Arabidopsis thaliana: one gene and its partners. The protein of the gene in region 2 interacts with the protein of the main gene of each other region in a pairwise test. Each region holds a gene or a part of one and is shown on either strand. Other genes may lie near its edges.

Evidence for each region.
Region 1: the proteins of PFK7 (region 2) and AT3G44620 interact in a two-hybrid assay, tested with the Arabidopsis thaliana proteins (one large-scale study listed by BioGRID).
Region 3: the proteins of PFK7 (region 2) and ETL1 interact in a two-hybrid assay, tested with the Arabidopsis thaliana proteins (one large-scale study listed by BioGRID).
Region 4: the proteins of PFK7 (region 2) and CHY1 interact in a two-hybrid assay, tested with the Arabidopsis thaliana proteins (one large-scale study listed by BioGRID).

What each region holds. Positions count from the first base shown.
Region 1 is NC_003074.8:16,191,227-16,197,770, forward strand, and holds AT3G44620 (protein-tyrosine phosphatase), read left to right. Parts: upstream 1-2,602; 5' UTR 2,603-2,631; coding exon 2,632-2,997; intron 2,998-3,393; coding exon 3,394-3,529; intron 3,530-3,688; coding exon 3,689-3,912; intron 3,913-4,133; coding exon 4,134-4,196; 3' UTR 4,197-4,607; downstream 4,608-6,544. Other genes in the region: AT3G44610 (Protein kinase superfamily protein), read right to left, coding at 337-881; AT3G44630 (Disease resistance protein (TIR-NBS-LRR class) family), read left to right, coding at 5,066-5,234, 5,322-5,865, 5,992-6,544.
Region 2 is NC_003076.8:22,920,810-22,928,400, forward strand, and holds PFK7 (phosphofructokinase 7), read left to right. Parts: upstream 1-2,994; 5' UTR 2,995-3,501; coding exon 3,502-3,603; intron 3,604-3,793; coding exon 3,794-3,840; intron 3,841-3,920; coding exon 3,921-3,960; intron 3,961-4,100; coding exon 4,101-4,301; intron 4,302-4,393; coding exon 4,394-4,552; intron 4,553-4,641; coding exon 4,642-4,695; intron 4,696-4,785; coding exon 4,786-4,984; intron 4,985-5,067; coding exon 5,068-5,330; intron 5,331-5,416; coding exon 5,417-5,617; intron 5,618-5,727; coding exon 5,728-5,919; 3' UTR 5,920-6,154; downstream 6,155-7,591. Other genes in the region: NAC099 (NAC domain containing protein 99), read right to left, coding at 1-68, 217-330; MIOX5 (myo-inositol oxygenase 5), read right to left, coding at 6,725-6,751, 6,847-6,928, 7,034-7,112, 7,196-7,265, 7,358-7,480. UniProt on the Arabidopsis thaliana protein: Catalyzes the phosphorylation of D-fructose 6-phosphate to fructose 1,6-bisphosphate by ATP, the first committing step of glycolysis.
Region 3 is NC_003071.7:520,226-528,903, forward strand, and holds ETL1 (SNF2 domain-containing protein / helicase domain-containing protein), read left to right. Parts: upstream 1-2,997; 5' UTR 2,998-3,255; coding exon 3,256-3,840; intron 3,841-4,036; coding exon 4,037-4,154; intron 4,155-4,234; coding exon 4,235-4,275; intron 4,276-4,359; coding exon 4,360-4,610; intron 4,611-4,679; coding exon 4,680-4,860; intron 4,861-4,969; coding exon 4,970-5,155; intron 5,156-5,240; coding exon 5,241-5,414; intron 5,415-5,496; coding exon 5,497-5,655; intron 5,656-5,746; coding exon 5,747-5,824; intron 5,825-5,921; coding exon 5,922-6,058; intron 6,059-6,148; coding exon 6,149-6,367; intron 6,368-6,496; coding exon 6,497-6,659; 3' UTR 6,660-6,843; downstream 6,844-8,678. Other genes in the region: IDD4 (indeterminate(ID)-domain 4), read right to left, coding at 39-435, 756-945; LCR69 (low-molecular-weight cysteine-rich 69), read left to right, coding at 8,172-8,235, 8,491-8,660. UniProt on the Arabidopsis thaliana protein: DNA helicase that possesses intrinsic ATP-dependent nucleosome-remodeling activity and is both required for DNA repair and heterochromatin organization.
Region 4 is NC_003076.8:26,374,924-26,382,664, reverse strand, and holds CHY1 (beta-hydroxyisobutyryl-CoA hydrolase 1), read left to right. Parts: upstream 1-2,983; 5' UTR 2,984-2,996; exon of another isoform or gene 2,997-3,047; intron 3,048-3,417; 5' UTR 3,418-3,503; coding exon 3,504-3,533; intron 3,534-3,608; coding exon 3,609-3,689; intron 3,690-3,753; coding exon 3,754-3,822; intron 3,823-3,883; coding exon 3,884-3,947; intron 3,948-4,022; coding exon 4,023-4,102; intron 4,103-4,171; coding exon 4,172-4,255; intron 4,256-4,334; coding exon 4,335-4,419; intron 4,420-4,501; coding exon 4,502-4,587; intron 4,588-4,728; coding exon 4,729-4,850; intron 4,851-5,084; coding exon 5,085-5,145; intron 5,146-5,242; coding exon 5,243-5,341; intron 5,342-5,407; coding exon 5,408-5,509; coding exon of another isoform or gene 5,510-5,533; exon of another isoform or gene 5,534-5,585; coding exon 5,586-5,627; intron 5,628-5,703; coding exon 5,704-5,835; 3' UTR 5,836-6,055; downstream 6,056-7,741. Other genes in the region: AT5G65950 (trafficking protein particle complex subunit-like protein), read right to left, coding at 1-218, 314-480, 737-1,078, 1,262-1,342, 1,433-1,556, 1,637-1,751, 1,832-1,893, 1,987-2,375; ZWI (kinesin-like calmodulin-binding protein (ZWICHEL)), read left to right, coding at 6,271-6,410, 6,501-6,729, 6,806-7,372, 7,458-7,557, 7,641-7,741. UniProt on the Arabidopsis thaliana protein: Involved in valine catabolism. May be indirectly involved in benzoic acid biosynthesis and in cold signaling and cold tolerance.

The DNA of each region.
Region 1 (6,544 bases), on a different chromosome or scaffold from region 2:
ATTTCAATTATATAAGTTAAGGTTACTGAAAACTGCCAAAAATTCAGAAGAAATTACGGAAACTAAATCTCGTTACTATAATTACGATGTAATTACCGTTAAAAAGGCAATAAATCTAGTACTAGTGATTAATTAACGGTGCCATTAAATTCAGTTATGTGTGTTTTAAGTGTTAACTACGAGACAATTCGCCAGCTGGCGAGTCCCACTTCCCTGATTTCATCAGGCTTTTATATTTATTCACTGCTTCATAGTAATAATTACTTCCCAAAAGATTTTTTTTTGAATTAGAAACTGAATATTTAAAAAAATAAATAACTTAACGGAAACTGTTACCTGACGGCGGATTCATGGAAACGTTTATGAGTCTGTTTTTGACGGAGAACGTGAAGGTCACCGCCGGGACAAAACTCCGTTAATAAACAGAGCCATTTCGGAGAATCAATGGCGGCGTAAAGCGTCGGAAGAAACGGATGATCAAGAGATTCGAGAATCTCTCTCTCCGTCTTAGCTCTACCTTCTTTGCTTCTGCTCGCGAGCTCCTTTTTATCCATAACTTTCGCTGCTAACAGAGGTAATTTAACGGCGGTGGTTTCTGTTACGGCGGTTAGGGATTTGAATTCGGCTAAGAAAACAGAGCCGATGTCGCCGGAACCGAGACGGAGACGGAATCTGAGATCGGAGAGTGAGAGAGATGATCGGAGTGAAGGAGGGAGTTTCGAAGATGAGAATGAACCGTGAGCTGATGGTGCTGGTGTTAAAGCTGCGGCGGAGGAGGAAGAGCGAGAACCGGAGCTTGTGCTTCGATTCACGGTGGTTCCGGCTGATGTAAAGCTTACACTCTGTAAGTCGTCGGTTAATTCGTCAATCCATGGCTCCATTTTCCGATCTACTGAGAGTGACGACGAGAGAGAGAAGAAGAAGAAGAAGAAGAGAGGGAGAGAAAGAGAGAAGTAACTGTGAGATTTTGCCTTTTTGGGGAAGAGAAAAAATAGAATCAAAAGAAGATGGCAAAGTTGTAATTTAAGGGTTGAGATATGGTGCGTTTCGTAATTTAAGGTAATAGTTCGATTGTTAAGGAGATGATGATACAGTATTCTATAATTGAGATGTTTTATTTATGTAAATAGACAATAATTAGGGAATTATTTGAGAGGGATTTTTGATTTCTCTATGAATTTTTAAGATCTTTGGTATAGGATTTGTTTCAAAAGAGAGAAACAAAGAGACATATAAATCTAGGCCCCTACAGAATTAAGATAATGACATATACATATCTTGTGTTTGTTCTATTTCAGTTGTGATTACTAGTATTTTCTTCGTATGGTACAATTATAAATAAATATCTAATCACTGTCTTTTGAATATTATGTCACCAAGTACAAGGATGGTGTTATTGGTGAACAATTTGTATCGTGAACTCAAATCCCTATTGCACGAACCTCAGGTTAGTGGTCGACTGGTCGCTCGGCCTCGTTTTCATTTCCTTTGAAACCATTATGGTTTAGATATTGGTTTAACTCAATTGCATATACCTAACCGGTTTGACTCGGGTGAATATGTTAGATAAGGAAAGTGTATATAACCCTTGTATTTTCTCATTAATGAAATCAGCAGAAACATTTTAGGTTGGATAAGGAAAGTGTCTATAACCATATCATTGAAAGACAAATTGCTTGGGTCGAAACCGGTTTTGTTAAGTCCGGCCCTGGATATATTACCAATTTGTAACACTCGTCTTAAACCGGATATTTTCTAGTCAGACCGAAAAAATACAAGTGAAAGAGGTTCAAATAAATTGATAACTTAGAACATTCATAACAATGACCAAAACAAATCTTTTCAATGAGGTTTGTAAATTGTAACTATATATCCGAATTAAAAAATAATCGTCATAAGTACTAACTGTTTTTCGGAGAATGAAATGGGCTATCTGTTGAAAACCTTAGGCCTGAGTTTAAAGACCATCTGTACAATTGGGCCAATAAGTAACGCATTATCCATCAACAAAGTACTGAAACATGAGACACTTAGACCATCTCCATCGGGGGTTTCTTGTAAGAATTTCTCACAATTAAAAAAAAAAAATAATAAAAATGAAGGAAAAAGAGTGTAGAAAGTTTCTCACTTGAGAAACTCTGAGATACTCTTTACAACCCATCATGATAATTCTCTTCTCATTATTGGTTCAACTTTTTAACAAAAATATTTTTTTAATCAAAAAATCAAATTATAATATAATATTAATTTTTTGTTTGTTTGAGAAACTTTGTGGGTTTCTCATGGATAAAAAGGCCCTTAACTTGTCATAGAAGTTACAACACAACATGAAAGTTAAACATCGCCGGCCAAAACAAAAATATTTCTGTGAATTTACACAAAATTATTTGCATTACCGACCATAATGTTCTCCTCAGTACCTTCAACACAATACAACAATACATTAACAAAATTGGTCTTCTAGCATTAGCCTCGTCTCTAAAATCTAACATCTTCTTCTACTCCTAATCCAACAATTGTTTATGTATATTCCCAATTATACCCCTCTATTACTTTGCTTATTACGGAAAAGGAGTTCAAAGAGCAGAAGAAGAAAACTCGTATATCCCAAATCTCCAACTTTTCAGGGGAATGATGATGTACTGTCCCAACCTCACGGCTTCTCTAACAATCCCTTCATATTTACCATTTTGCCACTACACTAGACAATTTCGTCCTTCTCATTTCCGATCATCTGATAAAAACCCGAATCTCGTTTCTATCATCCGAGCAAAACCCAGAATTTCTCATTCGCTTAGGTGCTTTGTATCATCTTCAATGGCGACTCCTCCTCCGACGCAGAGCAGCGAAACCAAACCTTACTCTGTTCTTTTTGTCTGTCTCGGAAACATTTGTCGCAGCCCAGCGGCTGAAGGTGTCTTTAGAGATATCGTGAAGAAGAGAGGTCTCGATTCCAAATTCAACATTGATTCCGCTGGAACAATTGATTATCACGAGGTATGATAATTAGTTCCAAAACAATTAATCTAATTTTAGGGTTTATGAGAGATGCTTGATTCATGGTTGATTTGAAATATTGGTGAATGATGGTTTTGTATGTAGAAAGGTTTGGTTTTGGTTTTAGGTTTTTTTGGTGGATGTAATTTGGTAGGAATACAGAGTTATAGAGACTTTGAAATTCATGTTTCTGAATCAATTTTGATGTGAAATTGCTCTTCTTACTAGGGAAGAGCAAAAACAGTAATCTATTTTTATGGTGATTGATGCTTTGATTGGAACAATTAGGCAATGGTGCTTTCAGATTTTGGTGGATGTAATGTGGTTGTAAATTAGGAGCAGTGGAGACTTTGGAATTTATGTTTCTGATTTGTGAAAATGTTGGTTTTTTAAAAGGGGAATATGGCGGATCCAAGAATGAGAAGTGCTGCGAAACGTCGCGGGATTGAGATAACATCACTATCCAGACCGATCAAGGCATCTGATTTCAGAGAATTTGATCTCATTCTTGCAATGGATGACCAGAACAAAGGTAGCTGATAGAGTAATTTATTCAACCTTTGTAGGGTCTGATCGATTTCTATGCAAATGGGATTCAACATAGGATAGAGACTTTTGCAAGTTGGGATCTGATTAGAGTTATATATGTAGAATTGAAATAAGTATGAGTTTGAATGTTTGATGTTTGCAGAGGATATATTGAAGGCTTATAATGTGTGGAAAGCCAGAGGGAATTTCCCGCCCGATGCAGATAAGAAGGTACCGTTGGTGTGTGTTTGCTGGACTTTGGAACTCTATTTAGTTGATAGATTTTCGTTGAATTTTCAGGTTAAGCTAATGTGTTCTTATTGCAAGAAACACAATGACAAGTTTGTTCCTGATCCATATTATGGTGGAGCCCAAGGTTTTGAGAAGGTAATTACCATTAGACTCTAAAGAAGCTGAATGCAGATATTTAATTTGGTTCATACCATTAGAGGTTGTCTATCAAAATGGTTGAGTCAGTCTATAAGACTTTAAAATGGCATTACCAGTGTCACTCCCAAGTAACTTTTCCATTCCCGAATTTTAGTGTTTTATGTGGACAAAACTCACTTGGAAACATGAATCTTGATCTCTTACTTGTTCTTTCACAGGTACTGGACTTGCTTGAAGATGCTTGTGAGTCTTTGCTGGATAGTATCACTGCGCAAAGTTGATGATACTACAAGTACAAAGTCCCAATCCTAGAACCTTTGTTGTTTTTGCACATAGAACTGAAAAGTTCTCTTATTATATTTAAGTGTCATCAGTGATGACAATAGAGTGAGAACTGATGTGAAGCTTGGATCTTGATCTTGTTGGTGTTTTCCTTGAAAAACCCTTTGTTAAATGATCTACTGATGGATCATTATTATTGAGATTGATAGCTTCAGTGATGTCAATAGTTTGTGAGGAATGATCTTCCTGATTCTTAAGAATCATAGAGAGTGGCACTCTTTACACGCTTGAATAATACGAATTCTTTTGTTCGATCATTATTATTAGGAAAGAAATAGATTTAAAAAAAAAAGAATGTGTGGACGTGAAGTGTTGTTGTTTGAGATGATAACAGAATATTTTCTCTTATCATTATGTGGCTTCCGAGAAATTAAGTGAATGGTGGTGGAGCATATGGACAATGATTTTGTCGTTTGCAATATTTTCCACGAAATCTCACTATATTTTCCATGAAACATCAATGGAGTTTTTCTGTGCCAATAGACTCGTCAACGGTCTATATCCTCATTCACACAAATTGTTTGAACTACCAAAATTCCATTAAACCCGTGTGATTCTTCAACTCTCTGGAGATTTCTCATCGTTTTATGCATCGGTGAGATTTTCATTTTTTTACTCCTCACTGTCTGAACTAAGTTCCAACTATTTTTAAGTTTTGCTTAAGGTTTTATCACTGTGGATTTGAATTGATTTGATGATAATGCTTTATTTGTTTTCGATTAGTGTTTTGAGCCCATTTCTTGATTATGTGTTCTTGATGGTGGGAATTAATGGTTGCAGCAGTGAATCATCAATAATCTAAGTTCTCATGGGTTCTGCAATGAGCTTGAGCTGTTCCAAGAGGAAAGCAACGAGTCAGGATGTTGATTCCGAATCTTGTAAAAGACGAAAGACATGCTCAACAAACGATGCTGAGAATTGCATATTCATTCCGGATGAGTCATCTTGGAGTTTATGTGCCAACAGAGTCATCACTGGTCTGTATCCATTCACATAAAGGCCATCTTAAATCTTGATCCACTCTTTACCATACTAATGAATTATTCTTATTTCCCTTGGCTCAGTGGCAGCCGTAGCTTTAACAAATTTCAGATTCCAACAAGATAACCAAGAAAGTAATTCTTCTTCTTTATCTCTTCCCTCCCTTGCAACTTCTGTGTCTCGAAACTGGAAACACGATGTCTTCCCGAGCTTCCACGGAGCAGATGTCCGAAGAACCTTTCTTAGTCACATCATGGAATCGTTCAGAAGAAAGGGAATTGACACATTCATTGATAATAATATAGAGAGGAGTAAGTCGATCGGTCCTGAGCTCAAAGAAGCTATCAAAGGATCAAAGATCGCAATCGTTTTGCTCTCAAGAAAATATGCTTCTTCGTCTTGGTGTCTTGATGAGTTGGCCGAGATCATGAAATGCAGGCAAATGGTGGGTCAGATTGTCATGACCATTTTCTATGAAGTGGAGCCAACTGACATAAAGAAACAGACCGGTGAATTTGGAAAAGCCTTCACAAAAACATGTAGAGGTAAACCAAAAGAGCAAGTTGAGAGATGGAGAAAAGCTTTGGAGGATGTGGCAACAATCGCCGGATATCATTCTCACAGCTGGTTTGTCTTCTTGATTTATATTCTCCTTAATTAATATTTCCTTGTTAAAGTGTATTCTTTCAGATCTTCGTGACCATTTTATCGCAACGATTGTATATTGATTTGATATCTATCCTCTATTGTCAGGAGGAATGAAGCAGACATGATTGAGAAAATAGCCACTGATGTTTCAAACATGTTAAATAGTTTCACACCATCAAGAGATTTCGACGGGTTAGTAGGGATGAGAGCTCATATGGATATGCTGGAACAATTGTTGCGCTTAGATTTGGATGAAGTAAGGATAATCGGGATTTGGGGACCGCCTGGGATTGGTAAGACAACTATCGCCAGATTTCTGCTTAACCAAGTCTCCGACAGATTCCAACTTAGTGCAATCATGGTCAATATCAAAGGATGCTATCCAAGACCTTGTTTCGATGAGTACAGTGCACAATTGCAACTACAAAACCAAATGTTGTCCCAGATGATCAATCATAAAGATATCATGATTTCTCATTTAGGAGTGGCTCAAGAACGGTTGAGAGACAAGAAAGTGTTTCTTGTTCTCGATGAAGTGGATCAATTAGGACAACTAGATGCCTTGGCGAAAGAAACTCGATGGTTTGGTCCTGGAAGTCGGATTATTATCACAACAGAAGATCTAGGAGTTTTGAAGGCTCATGGGATCAATCATGTT
Region 2 (7,591 bases):
TCTAAATGTTCTATAAGTTCTTGATCTGTCGGATCGAATTTCACTCCTGCCGGCAATCCAACCCAATTCTTAAAAAGAAAAAAGAAGAAGGCTGATTAACAATGAATAATAATTTCAAAGATATAAAGAAAAAAGTGACAAGATGATATCTTTAATTATTTTTATTCTTGGGGGTTGATTAGATTATATATGTCAAGGTGTATAATGGAATATTACTGGTTTAGTAGCAGCTTGAATCATGCGACCACATCCAGGACAATGTTTTGATCCGCAAAGATGATGATGTTCTTCGAGCTTTGAATCTATGAGGTTACATTTACTATTCTTCATAGTTTTCTTTTGATCTCTAAATGATTTGATGAGAAATTGATCTGCAGTTTATGAACAACAAAAAGTAATTTTTTAAAAGATATTGATCGATGCATATATACACGATTCAAAGCATATAATAAAAAAGAAGACAAAAATAGTTAGTAAATATAAAGATTACCAGATTTGTATGACAATACGAGATCTACCAAAATTAATAAAAGGTAAAAGAATGAAATTGATAAGATGAGTTGATGTCATTAATATGCATATATGCGTGATAAAAGAACACATAGACAATTTCAAAACATGACAATAATAAAGAAGAAGTACAAACAAATATCAAGATTACCAGATCTGCGTGAGATCGATTGGATAGGGAAAATGTAAGAGGAAGAAGAATTTGATAAAGACGGGAGTGATCTCAATATATATAGTAGAGAAAAATAATAACTTGTGATTTATGCTTTTTAAGTATTATAATTATTGTTATTAATATCTCTCTTTGTTTCCAGAAGAGACACAGAAACACATGTAGATACGACTTTAAGTACTGAAAAATCTATGTCAAGTAGATAAAGAAATGAAGAAGAAATGAGGAAGACGAAGAGTAAAGGAAATAAAAGGAGTTGAGACTGAAAAGGTTAAAAACCCTAATTTTACTCTCTCTTGTCTTGTGCGACTCATCTTCAGTCTATCGACCAAACCTTTTATTTATTTCCTTTTTGTTTTATCTATCTATTTTATTTATTATTATTAGTGTATTCGTATTCTAAGGTGGTATGTATTAATATTATAATAGGCTTTGTACATACAAAATTAGTATTACTCAGCTAAATGAGACATATCAGACCATGTCAACTTTTTTTGAGCAATATAAGGAAATTACGAATTGTGAGATATTTATAAGTTTTAGTTGGAGTCAAGCTGTAAAAAATGTAAGGCTTTCTTTTTATCAAAAAGATAAAAATCTAATTTTAAAGATTTTATTTAATAATCTTGTGCTTTAATTAACTGTTGAATCTCGCTCTTTTGTTTGAAATAAATATTTGTTTGTACATCCATTTTAATAGTATAAAACCTGGTACCTTCTCTGACCTTCTGAATGTTTTTGAACATAATTACGGATTAATTTAGGAGAAGATTATCAATATTTTTAAAATAAAGAACGCAGGAAAAGAACATAGGAAACAAAGCATTTAAGGATAATCTCTTTGGATTATAGGGCAAACACATGTTTTTAAGAATCTTTTTCTTTTTTGCTTTCTTTCACATTATTTGAAATATGTAACATATTCTTGTGGGATTTGAACCCAATGGTCCTACACTGGTGTGGGTCCAATGATGATGTCGGGAGATGGGGCCTAGCCGCAGATTTGTTTGAACAACAGATCAAACGGTCATCATTTATTTGATCTAAATGATTATATTAGGTTTTGCATTTTTTCTTCTCCTTTGAAAAGATGAAAAACGAAAAAAGGTCAGAAATCTACTGGAGATAAGAGTACCGTCTGAGACTAGAATAAACATAGATATCAGCTGAAAAAATTGATAAGAGTATGATAATGTGCTTATTCAGTTTTATTATTAAAAAAATAAAAAAATTAGTCTGCTACGAAAACACAAGTATACATACTATAGTTGATAAGAGCATTATCCATGGTGTGTAGTAAGTAAGTAAACAAACCATTATATTTGGATTAATCGAGTATTCAGCAAATATTCATATTGTCTTGTTAATGATTAAGAGCCTAGAAGTCTTTAAAATATCCATCAAGATTCAAACATTATGACTCAAACTAGTGTGGTGTTGTCCATTATACTCGAAACGAAATGGTATTTTTTCAACTTTTGCTTGTAAAACTTAGCCAGTGCATGGCCTTTATTAAATCAACTATTGGGTCACTGCATGACCCATTTATCAACCTGTAACTGAATATTGGGCTTTGGCAAAGATCCAATTAGCTTCATTCGTATTTCAGAAATTTGATTTTATATCCGACTGAGTAGGTACGTATATGCAATACGTTATGTCCTATTAGCCTTATGGGACTCACGGGTACTTATGCAGGAGATGGATTAATTTCATATCCATCTGCAAACTAAATACATTTATTTTCTTATGGCAAAAAGCCAAAAACTATGTAACGTTTAATTTACGAAAAAAAAAATATTTAATATTTGGGTTATATGGATTTTTTTTTATTTTTTTTTTTTTTTTCGGGACATTAGCGAGAGTCATAGTATTAAAGAAACAGTAAAAACAACGACCAGATTTAATGCAACTTTATTACTACTTTAATTCAGATTCGAGAATTGACAGGCAAATACGCATTATTTTAGTACATTATGAAGAATCATACAGTTACATATTTCACATATATATTGTTTTAAAGATGTAAAACGACTAAGCAAGTATGTCATCTGATAGCATTATGAACTAATAACTTTTTGTCAACTCTGATTTTCATTTTTAAAATTATTATATCTTGTTACCTCTTTGTAACCAGCAATAGTTTCTTGACAACAAAAGAATCGGCAAATCAATGAAAACTTATTAAACTAACACACAAAACATAAAAAATAGTGATTAGCCGACACAACAAAATTGGATTTGTCTTTCTCTCTTTAAAAGATTTTCACCCGAATATTCCTAAAGATCTGAAATACTGAAAATATCACACAAAAAAATCCAAAAAGAAAAAAAATCATTTTAAAATTTAGAACTTGTTTTTCAAGGCCCAAAATTAATCGTTGTCAATAATTGGAAACTTAAAAATAAAGTCTTGTTCTAGAAGAATGTGAATCATCTTCTCCAAGTTTCAAACGTTGGTTTTTTTCCCCACTGTGATCGTCAGCTTTATATATTATATACACGAGAATCTTGTACCCAATTAACATATACATACATGTAAATGTGTGTATGTATATAATATAAAATTATTCTCCTTTTCACTAATTTTTCTTCAAATACTTTAATGCCCACCACCTGTTCGATCAAATTCCCCATCTCGAAAAGCTAGAACTTTCTTCGTCTCTATTGGTCTCTCACTCTCTCTCTTACCTCTTCTCATTTGTTCTTTCTCCTTCTAAATTGGGTTATCAAGTATATTGGATCAACGGGTTTGATTCACGATTTGTCATTTCATCTTCGTGGAGAGAGTTTGATCTGATTTGTTGATCGTCAGCGTTATGTCTAGTCCGAGAAGTAACAAGCCGAAGATTGTCAACGGTCCTGGTGGTTATATTCTACAAGACGTTCCTCATCTCATTGATTACCTTCCTGATCTTCCTGTATGTTTCACTTGATCTCTGATTGGTTCTAAATTGATTTGAAAATTTCTCGATTTGCACAAAGAGATCGAATCTGATATCGTCTAGTTAACAAAGGAGGAATCTTTAGCTTTGGGTTTCAATGTTCTGATCTGTTTCTGGTTTACTCTTAATAAAATGGTGATAATTCGTGGTTTTGATGTTATTGCAGACTTATCCAAATCCATTGCAAGACAATCCAGCTTACTCAGTGGTTAAGTAAGTATCTTCACCTATTTCAGACGTTTCCATTGCTTAAAGTTCATAGTTTTTGTTCTCATTTGGATGTTTTTTATCAGGCAATACTTTGTTCATGCTGATGATAGTGTCCCTGAGAAGGTAATTTATCAAGCATAATCCTTTTTTACCTGTAATTGTCTGAAGAATGGTGTTAGATGATCATGTCTTGTTGAAAGTGAGATTTTTAAAAGTAAAAGGCTCACTTTTTCTATCCTCTGTTTTATTTTCGTGTTATTTAGGTTGTTGTTCACAAGGATGGTCCAAGAGGAGTCCATTTCAGGCGTGCTGGTCCACGTCAAAAGGTTTACTTTGAGTCTGACGAAGTGCATGCTTGTATAGTTACATGTGGAGGTCTCTGTCCCGGTCTCAATACCGTGATTAGAGAAGTTGTGAGCAGCTTATCATACATGTATGGAGTAAAGAGAATTCTTGGAATCGATGTAAGTTTGGTGAATCATAATTAATCTCTTCGGTTTCATTTTGGATTTCATAACTATTGTCCAAACGATTCTCATTTGTTGAAATCTTATAGGGTGGATACAGAGGATTTTACGCCAAGAATACTATCCCCTTAAACTCTAAAGTCGTGAATGATATCCATAAACGCGGAGGAACAATCATTGGGACCTCAAGAGGTGGACATGATACCAACAAGATAGTTGATAGCATTCAAGATCGAGGAATCAATCAGGTTAGGGAATAAACACAGCCACTGCTTTTTACGTTGTATGTGAAAAAGTTTGTCAACCTTTTCTTGATGTAGTATCTGTTATCATTTAGGTTTACATTATTGGAGGAGATGGAACCCAGCGAGGTGCTTCAGTAATATTTGAGGTAATTCCATTGTGATATTTCAGAATAACAGTTGTAAGTTTTAAGTTTTAACAATCAACAACTGAACTTAGATTGTATATAACCATGTAGGAAATTAGAAGACGTCGACTAAAAGTTGCTGTGGTTGGAATTCCAAAAACTATTGATAATGATATTCCGGTGATAGATAAATCTTTTGGGTTTGACACTGCTGTGGAGGAAGCTCAACGAGCGATTAACGCAGCACATGTTGAAGCCGAGAGTAATGAGAATGGTATCGGTTTTGTCAAGCTTATGGGTCGTTACAGCGGTAAGTCTTTGTTTTGAAACATACAACTTAAAAGACCTTTTCGATTTGTTACTGACTAATGCTAGGCGGGTGTTGTACTACAGGGTACATAGCGATGTATGCTACATTAGCCAGCAGAGATGTTGACTGTTGCTTGATTCCCGAGTCACCATTTTACCTCGAAGGAGAAGGTGGACTCTTTGAGTTCATAGAGAGACGGCTGAAGGATCATGGTCACATGGTGATTGTTCTTGCTGAGGGTGCAGGACAGGATTTGATGTGCAAAAGCATGGAATCTACTCCTATGGATGCTTCTGGGAACAAACTTCTTAAAGATGTCGGCTTGTGGCTATCACAAAGCATCAAGGTAAGAGTTAAAAACTTTCAAGATCATGAGATTCTTATGCCTTTTACAGAAAATTTCCTCATAGGGTTTATTTCCTCTTGTTGTAGGATCATTTTAAGAAGAATAAGATGGTGATGAATCTCAAATACATTGATCCTACATACATGATCCGGGCTGTTCCAAGTAATGCATCAGACAATGTTTACTGTACACTTCTTGCTCAGAGCGCGGTTCATGGTGCAATGGCTGGTTACACTGGCTACACCAGTGGTCTTGTCAATGGAAGACAAACATACATCCCTTTCTACGTAAGTTACTAATACAGATCTAATGTGTGCGGGATGGTCCTGAATTGAATCTGATCGTGTACTTGTGAGCAATTCTGAATCGTGTCATTGTTTTTTTGTTTGTCTTGCAGAGGATAACAGAGACCCAGAACAATGTAGTGATTACGGATAGAATGTGGGCGAGGCTATTGTCTTCTACGAACCAGCCAAGTTTCTTGGGGCCTAAGGATACATCTGAAGAGAAGAAAGAGTTGCCGGAAACACCGCTTCTTGACGACGGAGCTGTCGATATTCCTCCTGTGACTAAAGAGGTCACTAAGTGAAGAAGTTGCAGGGCATAATAATGGCATATGTATACTCAGAGGGTTCTGTAACCGATGCCGTTTCAGGCGAAAGTGAAATAATTGTTATTTTAACGAATTTGCCCTTTTGTGTATGTGCATACACAACACAAACACAAATTTTAGTTTTCTTCTAGATGTTTAGTTTTGTAATCCTTTTTGCATTTTCCACAACTGAATAAATGAATGAAGTAATAATCTTCGTTACTTTGATCCTATATTTGTTCTTGTATATGTTTTTTCACACTCAAAATGAAGAGAATAGGATGCAAGAGAGCTAAATTGTTTTCACACATAGATACTTCAAAAAGTTTCTTTTTGGTAACTGATCTTTTAAAGAATGAGAAAGCTAAATCTGAATGATTTAATGCAGTCAAAAGTGTTTTTTTTTTCTTGAAGGTTTCTATTATTGATAATTGAGAATTTGATAACTTGTTTGGATCAAATCTTGGTCTAATAATGATTTGTCTGATACTGAATTTGCAAAAAAATCTCAGTAATAGTGTAATACTTTTTTTTGGTTAAAAAAGTAATAGTGTAATACGACAGACCATAATAAATAAATTTTTTAAAGCAGAAGATGAAAGAAGAAAATATCATTTTAGTTTATAATAGGACAGACGAGATACAATTACCGTTTGTATCAACATTAGCATTAACATTAGCTAATGTAACAATACAACTTTATTAACTGGGCAATAATATGCTTAAACGACAAGTAATCAAACACACACACCATTTTATCTTTCTAATAGTAGACTTTTTTTGGACGGCCTCGATGCCGTTTTCACCACCTCAGATTTTCCGGGAAATACTGAAAAAAATCCCAAACAAAAATTATATCACAATGCTGTAAAAATTAAGTACATATCCTATTTTTCAAAAGCAGAATATGGTAAAGATCCTCACTTTCTTGATAAGAGACATGTAGTACGGCTTAACCTTCTCGACATTGACGTGTACTTTGCTCTTGCTGTATAAGTCATACTTGCTATATAATAAAACATACAATATAAGTATTAAAAATCTGATCATCGGGAAAAAAAAATCGGGTTTAATTAATTAAGAAAGACTTTTATTTAGAGAAATAAATTACTTAAAAACATGAAGCCATTTGAGATTCTCCTTGTCTTCCTCGTTCATAAGGTGAGTGTAAGCTCCAGCCTTGTGCAATGCTACAATACATTAATGTTAATTCATCAATCAAATTATGTTACTAATTAAGTGTTTAGTTAGTTAATAGTTTTATTGTGCTTACGATAAAAGGAATGGTATCGGATGATGAATAGTCCCGGGGATGGTAAGGTGCTTCCATTCTCCTTGGCCACCTATTTAACCATATAATAATCGTTTTGTGAATCATGTAATCATAATTAATGATTATAGTTGATAAACTATAGAAAGGAATTAAAGAATTTACCAGATACATGTAGTCATCATGTCCCCATGACATAAGAACATTTTCAAGTCCACAGCCTTCAGAATAAATTCCAGCTTTGGTATTGTACTTAGGGTTGTTAAAATCAGGGTTTTCCATAAAATACTACAATCATGGTTGAAAAGGAAAAAAATATATTATAGAAATCACTTGTTTGGTAAATATTAATCAACTAGGTTCTAACTATCAATATTTTGAGGATGTCAAAAAAAGAAC
Region 3 (8,678 bases), on a different chromosome or scaffold from region 2:
AACAAATTATTTAAATGAAATGGATAGAGATTAGTTACCTAGAGAAGATGGTACCACAGTCACATCGATACTCTTTAGTACCACAAGTCTTAGAGTGAGCTTTCCAATCTGATTGAACAGCGTAACGCTTAGAACATTTCTCACATTTCCACTTCTTTTCGCCATGTTTACGGTAATAATGCTTCTTGATTCCGGTGAGGTCTCCGAGAGCACGTGACGGGTCATGGTGAACGCACGTTGGCTCCGGACAAAGATACACTTTCCTCTTCACTTCTTTGGTTGATTTTTGTTTCAGCTTCCATGGGAGATTGTGTCCTCTTCGGTGAAGCTGTAGATTTTGTTCTCTTTGAAACCCTTTGTTACATACATCGCATATGAATCTGTTTGTAGCCATTAGTGTCTTTGGAGATAATGCTACCACTTCCGCATCAGGATCTGTTTCATATAATTAAAGAATTTAATCATTTAAATTAAGTCACCAATTAGACCCAAAATGTCAATCTATGTAGACTATATCGAAAAAAATGATACACACACATGTAAACATAAATCAAATGACATATACACGTATAAACATATAAGATATACTGGCCTGTCAATATATATGAAATCTTGATACTAGCTAGATATACAAAACAAAATAGAACAAATGATTAGGGTTCTTTTTCTTCTTGGTATTATCTTAAAGCTTATATATAGTGATTCTTATAGAAAGGTGATAAATATATAGAGATTTATATGTAAGAGATACTTGCTTGGGTTTCCGGGTTGGTTTCTTCGTTTCTTGGGTGGTGGAGCTGAGGAGTTAGGTTGTTGAATCATTGACATAAAAGTATCTTTCCGGTTAAAGTCGTTATCTCCGGTGCCGGAGCTGGTGATGAAGAAAGGCTGAGCAGAGGATGATGATGAAGGAATAACGCTTGTGTTATATGATGATGACGACATCTTTAGATCTTCTTCTTTGCGTGGAAGAGAATAATCTACAAATAATTCGTAAGACAAAAAAGTTAAGAAGAAAACGAAGGGAGGAATTATAAGAACAGGAAAAATCCATAGAGATTGACGACATGAAGAAATTTTATAAAAACCATTTCACTAGAAGACATAAACAAAGAAAAACAAATTAAGAGTTTATACTTTTGTTTTTTGTTCCTAAACTTTTGAAAGAATTAAGAGGAAAGATTTCTAAGTTGTATTTTTCTTGTACCTGAGATCAAGAGAAAGAAACCAAGTAGAAGAAGGAAAAAAAATAGTCAAAATTAAAAGCTATAAATCGGAGCTAAAGAAAGAACCAAGAAGAAGATGATGCATGATGATGATGATGAGATAGAAGATGATGATGAAGAAGAAGACACTATTCCTATATATTATGTATTATAATACAAACACAAACCTCAAAGCCCTATCTCTCTCTATCTCTATATCTCTTTCTCTCTCTACTGTTTTGTGTTCTTCTTCTTTTAAAAATAAGCCATATATGAAATGATCTTGAAAAGTATGTCTCTAAGGTCCCCTCTCTGTCTCTATCATTTTATTTTATTTCGATTAATATAAAATAAAGCTACTTTTTTTCTTTCTTATAATTTAATTTGACAGAATTAAGAAGGATGGTTACGGTTTGGGTGTCACTGTTAAAACGGTGAAATGTGTCCACATGCGGGGGTGTGTTGTGGGTACCACATTTTTCTCATTCGTATCTTTCTGGTGAGCTTTAAGACAAAACCCTCGTTTTCTCTTCATTTAACTTGATTAGGTTTTGTTGTACTAACTTTTTTTTAATTGTTTTTATCTAATAAAATCGTTTATAATATAACATATCGTATATTAATACACATGATACACCAATCAATAGAGAATTTTTTAAAATTTGTTAGATTCTTGTATGAAAATTAATATATTGCTTTTCTTCTTTGGTTCAATTCTTCAACCTTTCAGAATGTTCAATGCAAAACAATCGAACCGATTGGTTTTGAATCAAACCTAATTAATCCTGAACGAGTAACCAACTCTCAACCGATCTGAATAGATTTTAAAACGATATATCACAAAATCTCCAATATCACTTTAAGAGCTTTGAGAAAATATTATTGATATATTATTATTCGACCGTAAAGTTTGATTTTCTCCTTTTCACTTGGGCTTTTTAATCTTATACAATTTAGTTTTATTTTAGTTTACAAACGACAACATATTTAAGTAACAGGTGACTTCTCAACTTGATCCTCTCTTCATTACCATCGATGCTTTTTAAGTTATACTGAGATCGTACCAACTGCAATGGGTCAGTGCCGGGCCATATTCAATCAGGGCCTCCCTGATTGGGTTGTAATATGATTTCAAGTTAGTAATATGAAATAGCACACAGTCACGCACACAAAAGAGCCTATATAAGGAGAGATATACCACAAACAGCCCAAGACCCAGTTGTTTTAGATGAACCAAAATTGTATGGAAATATTTAGTATTTGAAACTGCCGTCACCAAGATGGCAAGGTCAGAGAAACTCAATAACAACTCTGTTTCTGCCATTCCGAGAGTTAATATTAATTTTCAGAGTTAATGGATTAGCTAGTAAACATATATATACAAATGATAATAACCTGTAGAATGAGGATTAAGATCGAGAACGACGAGGTTATCTTTACCGCAACATTCCAAACGTAGCCAAAGCTCTATTACCATACCCCTCAATGTACATATCCAGCTTATAAGACTCCTATCCAGTATCCACCATCCAACGAAACACACTCTCAGATTCTTCCACATTATGAATACATGTCAACCAAATAATTTCTCACCTCAACCATCATTTCAAAACCAAATCTTCAAGCAAACCCCATGGATTTAAAAACCCTTTTCAAGTGCGTCAAACAAACCACAAGCTTTTAGATTTGTCGAGAAAGTGAAGTCGTTGGGCCCATTTCTTCGGATCCCTTAAGTTCACCATTAAGTACTCATTAGAGCCCATTTCTTGGGGCCCATTAAGAGATTAAGTCCGCGCGCATAGCTTTTGGAGGATGCCGCTCTTTTGTAAGAAGCAACACGTTGTTGAGTCTCTAACCTTTCTTTGAAATCTTGACCTTTCCCTTCCTTCTCCGCTAAATTCGTTTTAATTTCATCTTCTTCTTCTTCTTCAATTCGATGCAATAATAGTCACTTCAATCTCAATCTAGGGTTTTCAATTTTCTTCATGTGAATTTTTTTTCCCCTTCTTCTCAATTTCAATTCAATCTGGGATTCGTAAATTCTCGGAAGATGAAACGCGATTTCGACGAAATCTCCGAGGAAGAGTGGTCTCAACACTCGTTTAACGCTTCGCGAGTTCTTAAACGACCACGGACTCCGAAGAAGACTCGCGCGGCGACGAATCCAACGCCGTCGATTGAGTCTTTTGCGTTTAGGAGACCTTCGACGGCGATGACGATTGAGAGTAATAGCAGCGATGGTGATTGTGTTGAGATTGAGGATTTGGGAGATTCGGATTCGGATGTGAAGATTGTGAATGGTGAGGATTTGTTGTTAGAGGATGAAGAAGAAGTGGAAGAGACTAAGGTTGTGATGCGCGCTGCGAGAGTTGGTAGGAGATTTGTGATTGAAGATGAAGAAGCGAGTGATGATGATGATGATGAGGCTGAGAGTAGTGCTAGTGAGGATGAATTTGGAGGAGGAGGAGGAGGAAGTGGAGGAAGGAGAGGAGAAGATGAAGATGTTGTGGGGAAGGCATTGCAAAAGTGTGCTAAAATCTCAGCGGATCTTCGAAAAGAGCTTTATGGTACTTCTTCTGGTGTTACTGATAGATACTCTGAAGTTGAAACTTCTACTGTCAGGATTGTCACACAGGTACTGGAAATTATCACTTTGGTGTTCTTAAAGTAGTTGCTTTGAGACGATTTAGAGTGTCTTCCTTATACAATTGTGAAGTAACTTTTGATTAGATAGCATATTTTGGTGGTAAGCTTTGATTGGTTTGGTTAGAGTTTACTGTTTTGTTAACTAAAACTTGTTTACTTTTGGGTTGAATCTGTGATGATCGCAGAATGATATTGATGATGCATGTAAAGCAGAGGATTCTGATTTTCAGCCTATACTCAAGCCGTACCAGTTAGTTGGTGTTAACTTTCTTCTTCTGTTGTATAAGAAAGGAATTGAAGGAGGTATGTGTTTTTACTAGTTTCGATCTGTAAACCTTTTTAGCGTGAATGTCACTTTGTAACTCACTTTCTATTGTTTGTAGCCATTTTAGCCGATGAGATGGGTCTTGGAAAGACCATTCAGGTGCATTTTGCTCTGTTATTACTGGATAAGTTTTCTTTGTTTCTTTATCTTATAAAGAACTAATTTTGTTCTCATTTACCTTAGGCAATCACATATTTAACCCTCCTAAGTCGCTTAAACAATGACCCTGGTCCTCATTTGGTTGTATGCCCTGCCTCTGTCTTGGAAAACTGGGAGAGAGAGCTCAGAAAATGGTGTCCGTCGTTTACTGTACTTCAATACCACGGAGCTGCGAGAGCAGCCTACTCAAGAGAATTGAATTCTTTGTCAAAAGCTGGGAAGCCACCACCATTCAATGTGCTTCTTGTGTGTTACTCTCTGTTTGAACGGCATAGGTGCAACTCTTGATGCTTTTATTTGCTTTTTGGCTTTTCCTGTTACTCACAGATGTTGGAATTTTACAGTGAACAACAGAAAGATGACCGAAAAGTACTGAAACGGTGGCGCTGGAGCTGTGTTTTGATGGATGAAGCCCATGCGTTAAAGGATAAGAATAGTTATAGGTGGAAAAACTTGATGTCTGTGGCCAGAAACGCAAACCAGCGTCTTATGCTTACAGGAACGCCTCTACAAAATGATTTGCATGTACGGTTGGTTTCTGTTGATTTTTTCAGGATCTAATTACCTAATATAGACGACATTTCTTCATGTGGTCATACAATGCTTATTCCCTGCATATGTTTGGTCTATGCAGGAACTATGGTCGCTGTTGGAGTTCATGTTGCCTGATATATTTACGACAGAGAATGTTGACTTGAAGAAGTTGTTGAATGCAGAAGATACTGAGTTGATTACTCGAATGAAATCTATCTTAGGTCCTTTCATCTTGAGGCGTTTAAAATCTGATGTCATGCAGCAACTTGTTCCGAAGATACAGCGGGTATGGATATATCTATGCACAATTAAGTACACGATATTAATCTTCTAGCTGCAAATCTCATTAATTTCCCATCAATCCAATGCAGGTTGAATATGTATTAATGGAGAGAAAGCAGGAAGATGCATATAAAGAAGCCATAGAGGAGTATCGTGCTGCTTCTCAAGCACGGCTTGTGAAGCTTTCATCAAAATCCTTGAATTCTTTAGCCAAGGCACTTCCAAAGCGTCAAATTTCAAACTATTTTACTCAATTCCGGAAGGTAATTCTCAGCTACTAATACAAAGCCCCTTTTGTGCCAAATGAGTGTGTTATTCATGTGTTATTAAATTTTGGTTGTACAGATTGCAAACCATCCATTGTTAATTAGGCGGATATACAGCGATGAGGATGTCATTCGCATCGCCAGGAAATTGCACCCAATCGGTGCATTTGGATTTGAATGTTCCTTGGATAGAGTTATCGAGGAAGTTAAGGGTTTCAACGATTTCCGTATCCACCAGGTAAATGTTTCTCTTTCCAAAAGCAGTTGAATATCCATTAACAAACATGTTATGCAATTGAAGAAGCTAACTAACTTGTTTCTTTCCATAGCTTTTGTTCCAATATGGAGTTAACGATACCAAAGGAACTCTCTCAGACAAACATGTCATGCTCTCAGCAAAATGTCGGGTACGTGATATTCTTCTTCATTTCATAAGTCTTCTTTGTGAAACTGATTAAGTATAACTAAACCTGTGAGCGATCTAAATCTCCCTTTATGTATCAGACATTAGCTGAGCTTCTCCCTTCAATGAAGAAATCCGGCCATCGTGTTCTAATATTTAGTCAATGGACATCGATGCTCGATATCTTAGAATGGACACTTGATGTCATCGGCGTTACATACCGAAGACTTGACGGCAGGTAATAAAAGAAAAAAGAGTAATTTGTCACATTTTTGACGATTCTACAAAAAGGAAGAAGCTTAAGTCATTTTCCTTTTGTTTTCAACAGTACTCAAGTTACAGATAGACAAACCATAGTCGACACATTCAACAACGATAAGTCGATATTCGCATGTCTCTTGTCAACTCGAGCAGGTGGACAAGGTCTTAATTTAACCGGAGCGGATACAGTCATTATTCACGATATGGATTTTAATCCACAGATTGATCGGCAAGCTGAAGATCGTTGCCATCGTATTGGTCAAACAAAACCAGTCACTATCTTCAGGTTTGAGCTTTAAATCCTTGAATCAGTTTAGATAACTTTCAGAACAAAATTGTGGTTTGGATTGGTTTATGTGTGCTCTGTTTTGTATTCTCACATATATCTGTATTAACTCTGGCAATGCTGGTGCAGACTGGTGACGAAATCGACGGTTGATGAGAACATCTACGAGATAGCGAAGCGGAAACTAGTTCTTGATGCGGCGGTTCTAGAGTCCGGAGTTCACGTAGATGACAACGGAGACACGCCTGAGAAAACCATGGGAGAGATTCTTGCTTCTCTTCTCATGGGATAACATTATTGTTACCTTTTTTGTTTTGAGGTAAAATTAGTCAAGAAACGAAGTTAATGTGTTATTCTAAACATGTGTAACCACTAGCTATTATTAGACTTAAATTTAATAGATCACGATAGTTATATTTTCTTCTACGCATGTAAATTATAACCCAAAAATTTCCTTCTTTAGACCTAAAAGTCACAATTGTTCCAAACACTAAAATGTGGATCAGTGATCAAATGAAGTGAACCTTCAGGATAGTTTAGTCTTCGATCATCAAAGATTGTATAAAGGAGTGACTTAGCTGTATTTGTAGGTATCAAAATTGAAAACCTCACGCAATGATTAAAGGTCTCAAGTATCTTTATTCGTCAGAGTTGTATAAGACACAAATCTCACTAGATTGTTTTCCCATTGTCTTTGCCGAAACCTAACAATGAACAACTAGTTCTATTAGGATTGGTTCAAGAATGTCACATAGTATAAGTTTTTCTTAGCTGAAAAATTCTAGATAACTTGGAATAAATTCTAGATAGTCTTTTTTTTTTGCTACATTTGAAGATAAATATCTATGAAAATGTTCAAATTCATGATTATATTATTGCGATTAAATAATTGAATATGACTATACAAAATAATTCACTAGTAAATCAAAGCCATACTAAGTTTGGATTCTTTGTGGTAACTGCCATTGCCAAGTCACGTTTTGAAGGTGTTCTCATGGTCAATTTACACTTAAAATTGAACCTGAAAACTAAGGCCAACCGGAAACTTGTTGAATTGTGTGAAGTGAGAAAATGATAATCGTGTATAACTTATAAAGTCACATGATAAAGAGAAAGCAACCAGCTTTTTGTCTGCCATAACAGTTCTTTAAAATATAGCCACAATTATACTACTTAATTTAGAGTAACTAATCCCAAATATTACTTATCTAAGTAATAATTAGAAAAGTATTCGATATTTATTATCAATTGCGTTTTAACTTGCTATATAAATACAAAGTTTAATTTTTATATAACCCACTAACTTTTTCATTTTGGTATATGATAAAAATACTCTATCCCGTGACTATTCCACTTGTTGTTACTTTTTAGTTTTTTTTTTACATAGCCATTATCATTGTGGACTCCACAACATCCGCAAACTCAATTATTTACTTTTCTATACGTTTATTTGTTTTTTTCTGATACAAAATTTGGTGCATGAATGACTTCTCGAAACGGTAGATGGACTCCACAACATCTGCGTGTCTTGTCACCTTACGTTACGGACCACAATTTACACCTATGAAAGTGTCGGTAAAGCAAATAAAATCGAGAAACTCACACCACTCTTATTCAAATCCAAAGTGAATACTCCAAAAATAAAGTAAATGATATTTATCCAAAAATATCTAACAAACGCGTAAAATGTGAATTATCTTGAACGTTTTAATACCTCTTTACTCTCTTTATATAGTGCCATTTTCCTCACTAGCAGCAACACACTTGAACACTACTTTCGAACTCTCTCTTTATCTCTCTTGCAATGAAGCTCTCTATGCGTTTGATCTCAGCTGTTCTCATCATGTTCATGATATTCGTCGCCACTGGTTTGTTTCTCATAACCTAATATCTAATTTTCACACATAACCCATGTTTTATGATAACATATTTTAACATATATAGATAGTTTCATTTTTTATAACATTCTGTATTTATGGTTTCTATCGATTATTCTTGTGAATGCTCATTTAATTATAGTTAAGTTCACTTCGAAAGTTAAGTAATATGCATCAAGCATGAGACACATGAAACTAAGCTATGGTCTAAACGAAGTGTTCGTTTTGTGTTTTGATTTTGTCTAGGGATGGGACCAGTCACTGTGGAGGCACGCACTTGTGAGTCGCAGAGCCATAGGTTCAAGGGTACATGCGTGAGTGCATCAAACTGCGCCAACGTGTGCCACAACGAAGGCTTTGTCGGAGGTAACTGCCGTGGATTCCGTCGTCGTTGCTTCTGCACCAGACATTGCTGATCTACCCATTCTCATGCA
Region 4 (7,741 bases), 3.5 Mb from region 2:
AGTTTGCAGCAATATCGAAAAAGAATTTTGCGTTGTTGGGATCAGCCAAATCAAAGTACTCCCGGGCTACTTCAAAGGCACAAAGAGCAGCCATCCTCTGGGCTTTAAGGTTGGTAAATGATTCATAAGATCTCTTCAGCCAAGCAATAATTTGAAGGGAATCCTGAACTCTCTTTGCTTCTGAAATTGTATACCGTGTGTACTCTTCATCCGTTATACTGCAAATACATTAGAATTCATACTATTAGAGATGGTGGTAGCATAATTAGTTTTCTTTTACATAGATTTGTGGGATGAATTATGAACAACTTACGAGTGAAGTGTAATAGCTTCTCCCTTCTCAAGCAACTGAGCGAACTGACCCACATAGACTGAAGGAGTAATAGATGCAGAGCTGCTATCAATCTCTTGAGCTATTTCAGACATTGACAACAACAGTTCCAGGGCAGATTTCTTATCCTTCAAGTAATGAGCAGCCAACTGCGTGTAAAACGAAAATTTCCCAGTGGATAAGAACATATTATATTTTCAACATACTGTACCTAGGAACAGACAGCTCAGAAATTTATGAGAAAGAGGACGAAAAATCCAGCATTTGCTTAGAGGTAGGTGTTTAAGTTTATGTAGTATTGTTTTTAACTAAATGGTAAAAGACACAGAAAAGATTTAACACAAAATGCACCACCAAGTTTAGATATGTTCCGACTATGTGTTACATAGAGCAGAATTGACTGACCTGATAATAATAGGCAGGGTAAAACTCAAACTCAGTCAAAGATATTTCCGCAGTTCCTTGGTTTGAGGATGTTAAGCTCTGACCAGTTGCTGAGCTTGTCTCCAGCAACTCAGCAAAGACAAGAAACTGCCTACTCATCCAGTCCCAATGGAGAAAAATAAATTCTGTGGATCCGACAACCTTTTCATATGATGTTTTATGTTGATGAAACCATGTCACTGCTTCTATGAGTTTTCCACCATGCAACAAAAGCGTTGATATCTTGAAATGCAATTGCTCAGCTATGATTTTGATCTCGACCAAGCGTTGTATTGCAGGCAACCTAGTCGATGTCCCGATCATCTGTTTGCATAAACAAAATTGCTCGTCGAAATTGAATGTGTGGAAACCGCAGGCAAAGATATGTAATAATAAGAAAGCAATGACCATATATGCATCAAAAGGAACTTCTTGACTAGAAGCAGAATACATATTAGCGTGACAGATGGGTTGGGAAAAAACAAAATACTTAGAGATAATAAAGACCTCGTGCAAGGAATGGTATGCGTCTTCATAAAACTTCAGTGCTTCACCCCAATCTCTACGAAACTCTGCATATACAGCGACCTAGCAGTCATGGCATGAATGAGCCTTCCTTTTCCCAGATACTTTGGAACAAAATGATTAGACTTAGCAGAGGTAACGAGAAAAGCTTACTTTAAAACAGTAGCGAACATTCAAATCAAGAGAATTGGAACTCCTTTTCTCAATTCGGCTTTTGATTCTCCGTCCTTCTTCTCTGTAATAAGAAAGTGCCAACTCTGCAAAAGCAGAAGCGAGTCTGCAAACATACCGTGTTGAGATGCATTGAAGGAAAAGCCTCTTGTTCTAGGTGCAAAGTAAAAGAGGAGAGAAACATACCTGGAGAGAGAGAGCGTGAGTTCAGAGACTATGCTGGAATTGAAGAAGAGCACGTACTTAGAATCTAATTCTGCCCGCTTTCGCAATGCCACCAGACGATCGTCGCTAATGTCCTCTAAAAACAAGTCGGGAAGGAGTAAGTCACCAGTAGTTCCGAGAGGAAAATGAAAAGAATAATCGGATAAAATGCGCTACCGTGGGGAGAAGACTGGACCACGACAACCACCAGTTTGATGTTTTTGGGACGGATTACGGATCTAGCAAGCAATTGAGATCGCAGTGTTAATTTGAGGGTTTGAAACAAAGGAGGGGAAACAAGGAAACAAATATAAAGGGAGATGAGGAAATACTTGAGGCTGTCGAGATCGGAGCAGACCTGTAGCCATTGAGTTGGATCGCCGAAGATGTGATGTGAGGGAAAGAAGGCGGCGACAAGTGCAGGGACCTTGGTGCGATGCTTAAGCAACCAGTCCCGTTTCAAAATACCGCCGCATCTGGAAGGAATGGGAGAAGCAGAATCGGAGACGCTGAGAGGATCTCTGAAGGAGGAGGTTCGGCTGATCTGATCATCATGAGCAAGGAGGAGAGAGATTTGAGAGAAGTCGGGGAAGGCCAGAGCGTTGATGGGAGGCTGCTGGGAGTGGAGATACTTAGTAATGGACGCGTGTAGCTCCGCGTATCCGAAGAGAGCCACCAGACTTACCGGTGGCGTCCTGAGCTCTTCCGGGTATTCCTCCATCTCGCCGGGGAGTGTCTGAGACTCGGACGCGTTGAATCGAGCAAGGAAGGATCTGACACATTCATTTTACGTGGGCTTTTAACGGGCCTTTGGATAAGGGAATGGACTTGTATAGCTGTCAGATTGTTCATCTGGCCCAGAATATGATGTGAAATACTTAATGGGTTTTCAACGGGCCTTTAATCTTTAAGGGTATGAACCACTGCAGTTGTCAGATCTGATTTAAACTAATGTGGTTTCTAAGGATGTAGTATCATCAGGCCCATTATAAGCCCACTTCTTAAAGATGCATCGACTCGTCAAAAAAATAAAATAATACAAAGAATTCGAATTGGTTGCATATACAGAAACATTGGATTTTACAAAATGGAAGAAAGAATTATTGGAAGAGAATGAGAAGCTGTCAAGCGGAGGAGCGGTTGATGAAGTCAATGCAGTCTGCAATTGCATCGGCGTAGAAAGAGTTAGAGCGACGTATAGATGTGTAATCAAGACCGTCTTCTCTGACCAGCGGAGGCCTTCTGCAGCACCAGCTCCTGAGAAGCCTGAAAAAGCTTCTCACTCTCGCACGCAGTCTCTTTGTCTTCTGCCTCAGCCTAATTCCTCTTCCACTCGGCCATCGTATCCTTGCTCTTTCCATCTTTCAACTCTGTTGCATATGCGTCAGATTGTTGAGTTTTCATGTATATGCAAATTATCTATATATCGAGAGGCGAGGGCTTTCATGTCTGACTTTTAGAAGTGGTTGTTGAGAATTTTTGAAGACTTTTTTAATGATTGATCTGGTGCCCACGTGTCATTTTATGCTAGAGGGAGGTGTTGGTTAGTTGGAAAACTAGCTTCCTAACAAAAAAAACACATGTCTAACGTACTCGATAAAAACATATAATCTTCTCATTCATCAAGCATGTTGCAAGAGGGCTTTGAAATTGAGTTTGAAAAGCAAAGTTCCATTTGCTCTATTAACAAAATAAAGCCCATTATTAAAACCAACAGATTACTATAAGGCCCAATATCAACTTCCTAAACTAAGCGGGTGAAGATTTTGTTAGCCATTAGTGGTAATTTCTGATCCCATTGCTGCTCCTCTCTCCGGAGATACAAAGGCGAATCTGACCAGTAAGAAAGATGGCAGTCGAGATGGCCTCTCAGTCTCAGGTCTCTTTCTTGCGTCTTTAATCCGAATCTACGACGATCAATTCTTCGCTCTCTGAATTAATAATATGATCACAGGTTTTGGTGGAAGAGAAATCGAGTGTTAGAATCTTGACACTAAACAGACCAAAGCAGCTGAATGCTCTGTCCTTCCACATGGTATCGAATATTTCCCTTCTTGTACATGCGTACTGTATTGGCTTAGACTCATTTTTTTCTGTAGATCTCTCGATTGCTGCAACTGTTCCTTGCATTTGAGGAGGACCCTAGTGTGAAACTTGTCATCCTAAAGGTAATCATTATCCTTATCTCTTCCGCTTACACACATTTAGTACTGAATAACTTTGCCACAGGGTCATGGGAGAGCCTTTTGTGCTGGTGGCGATGTTGCAGCTGTTGTTCGTGACATCAATCAAGGTTTACCACCCATTCTTTTCTGTTTCTTACTTTCAGCTTTTATACACTCTTTCTCTATCTTCGTTCGTTGACTAGGTAACTGGAGACTCGGTGCCAATTACTTCTCATCTGAATACATGCTCAACTATGTTATGGCCACATATAGCAAAGCTCAGGTCTCGCTATAATTTCGTTTTGTTTTTGTAAAATCACTCCCGAGTGGATAAACTCATCAATTCGTATAGGTTTCAATCTTGAATGGTATCGTCATGGGAGGCGGAGCTGGTGTATCCGTCCATGGTCGATTTCGTATTGCAACTGAGAACACGGTAATCTTTCCTTAAACATGTCCATGGATGACAAATAGGTCGCTCCAAAATATGCTCATATCTTTCGACTTTCTCCAAGGTTTTTGCCATGCCTGAGACAGCTCTGGGGCTCTTTCCAGATGTAGGCGCCTCCTACTTCTTGTCAAGGCTCCCTGGTTTTTTTGGTAACAGAAGCTATATTTCCTTTTTTTGCATCTTCTTAAAGCCACCAAAGTTTGAAAATGCTTTCTTGTCTTTTTTGTTCAGGGGAGTATGTTGGCCTCACAGGAGCTAGATTAGATGGTGCTGAAATGCTTGCTTGTGGCCTTGCAACTCATTTTGTGCCTTCAACGGTATGAACTTCCTTTGCGTGCGTCTATTTCGTAAGACATTCTGAATTGACTTTACACATCAGATATTGTATAGCTACTAGTGTCAAGCACTATCTGCTTCACCAAGGATTGCTACTTAGTTAGGTTTACTCCTTTCCACAGAGGTTGACTGCATTAGAAGCAGATCTTTGCAGAATTAATTCAAATGATCCAACTTTTGCCTCAACAATTCTCGATGCATACACCCAGCATCCGCGCCTGAAACAGCAGAGTGCTTACCGCAGGCAAGTCTATATGATTTTTATCTCTTTTACTCTTTCTACTAGTATGGTTTTACCTGATTACATTTTCTCGGTTATTGACCATGATTATAACACATTTTTTCTATAATTTCAATTTCGTATTGCTGTCAGGTTTTCAATCGCTCTTTACAGAACTCATTTCTCATCTGATCTTTAATTGAAAATTTATAAAAGTGCAGAGGACAGTTATTTTTTATCTCCCCGTTTGTTGCGCAGGTTAGATGTTATTGATAGGTGTTTCTCAAGGAGAACAGTCGAAGAAATTATATCTGCACTTGTAAGCTTTTCATTTATATATAGAGATGTTGACTTGCGATCCTGAGTTGACTGATTTACCTTTGACAACGCACTCTACCATCATATGTGTTGCTTAGGAGAGAGAGGCCACTCAAGAAGCAGATGGTTGGATCTCAGCTACCATTCAAGCATTGAAGAAGGGTTCACCAGCAAGCCTTAAAATCTCTCTTAGATCGGTTAGTTCCCAGAATGTGCATCACAGGCAATGTTGACAAAGAGCTGACTGTGAGTATATATTTCAGATAAGGGAAGGGCGATTGCAGGGGGTGGGGCAGTGTCTTATCCGCGAGTATAGAATGGTGTGTCATGTGATGAAGGGAGAAATCAGCAAAGATTTTGTGGAGGTTTTGCAAGCTTTTTCCATCTGAAACCGTCTTTGTTGTAGACCGTAGTTACAACAGCGTGTCTTTACTTATGCAGGGGTGCAGAGCCATATTGGTAGACAAAGATAAGAACCCAAAGGTTTAACAAGTCTCTCCATTTGTTATTTGTGGTTGGTAATATGTGACATTGTTGATAACAATATCTGAAATTATAGTGGGAGCCAAGGCGACTGGAGGACATGAAGGATAGCATGGTGGAGCAGTACTTCGAGAGAGTGGAACGGGAGGATGATCTAAAGCTTCCGCCAAGGAATAACTTGCCTGCTTTAGGGATCGCAAAGCTGTGAAGTGGAGAAGGTGATGGAGCACTATTGTTTACGTCTGTGGGAAAGAAAAAAGAAAATAAATGTAACAACACTTGTGTTGAATAGGACTTGCATACATTACATAAATCATTATTGTATTTGAGAATTGACACCAAAGCAGCAGAGCAGAATTGTGTTAAGATTTGTTAATGGTGTTGGAGGCACAACCATGGCAAACGGACGTGGAAGCACGTCTATAGTCATTGTTCATTTATTTGATTGAGATTCCTCCTTGGTCTCATCTTCTGAAAACGAAAAATAATTAGAAAATCAGGTGAATCGTGAAGTATTGAATGAGAAGAGGCAATTAAAAATCTCCCGTGACTCTCGTCTCCCCATCTCTCTCTCTCCCTCTGCCCAAATTTCTGGGGCAAATTTGTTCATCAGATCTACTACAATCTCTCTTTTTCTTCGGGTATGGAGGGCCAACGAGGCAGTAATTCTTCGTTGAGCTCTGGCAATGGCACCGAAGTCGCCACCGACGTTTCTTCTTGCTTCTATGTTCCCAATCCCTCTGGAACCGATTTCGATGCCGAGTCGTCTTCTCTTCCTCCTCTGTAAGTCTTCTTTGAATTTTTAAAAACATTCACTCTCTTGCTGCTGTCTCTGTTGATCCTTCTTCTTTGAAAATTTGAAAACATTCTTAGTCTCTCGCTCTGTCACAGCTCCCCAGCTCCTCAAGTGGCATTGTCAATTCCTGCGGAGCTTGCCGCCGCCATTCCCCTCATCGATCGCTTCCAGGTTGAAGCTTTTCTGCGGCTAATGCAGAAACAAATCCAGTCTGCTGGGAAGCGTGGCTTCTTCTATTCCAAAAAGTCCTCTGGCTCCAATGTCCGCGAGCGCTTCACATTTGAGGATATGCTTTGCTTTCAAAAGGTTTTTCTTTCCCCCCCTTTCTTCCCCATTGACAATCCATTGACTGAATATGTCTCTCTCCCCTTCCTTCCTTCAGGATCCAATCCCCACATCTCTCCTCAAGATTAACAGCGATCTCGTCAGCCGTGCTACCAAGTTGTTTCATCTCATCTTAAAATATATGGGTGTTGATTCATCTGATCGATCTACGCCTCCCAGTTTAGATGAACGCATTGACCTCGTTGGAAAGCTCTTCAAAAAAACTTTGAAGCGTGTTGAACTCAGGGACGAACTTTTTGCCCAAATCTCCAAACAGACTAGACATAATCCTGACAGGCAATACTTGATCAAAGCTTGGGAATTGATGTACTTATGTGCCTCCTCTATGCCTCCTAGCAAAGATATCGGTGGATATCTATCTGAGTATATTCATAATGTCGCACACGATGCAACTATTGAACCGGATGCTCAGGTTCTTGCTGTTAACACTTTGAAAGCTTTAAAGCGCTCTATCAAAGCTGGTCCTAGGCACACCACACCTGGTCGTGAAGAAATTGAAGCCCTTTTGACCGGTAGAAAGCTCACAACCATTGTCTTCTTTCTCGATGAAACTTTTGAAGAAATTTCATATGACATGGCTACCACAGTGTCTGATGCTGTTGAGGTATCTTCTTGCTTTCTTTTTTCATAATTTACCGCTGATCATATTCTTGTCCCTTTTTCTCTCACTGCATTGACATCTGTTTCAGGAGCTAGCTGGAACAATTAAACTATCAGCTTTCTCTAGCTTTAGTTTGTTTGAATGTCGTAAAGTTGTTTCAAGTTCTAAATCATCTGATCCCGGAAATGGTATGCTTTCATATGACTGGCTTCGTCATATATTGTGAAGTAATACAACATTATCGATCATTTTTCTATCTGTGCACTTGCAGAGGAATATATAGGATTGGATGATAACAAGTATATTGGAGATCTCCTCGCAGAATTTAAAGCTATTAAAGATCGAAATAAAGGAGAGATACTACACTGCAAA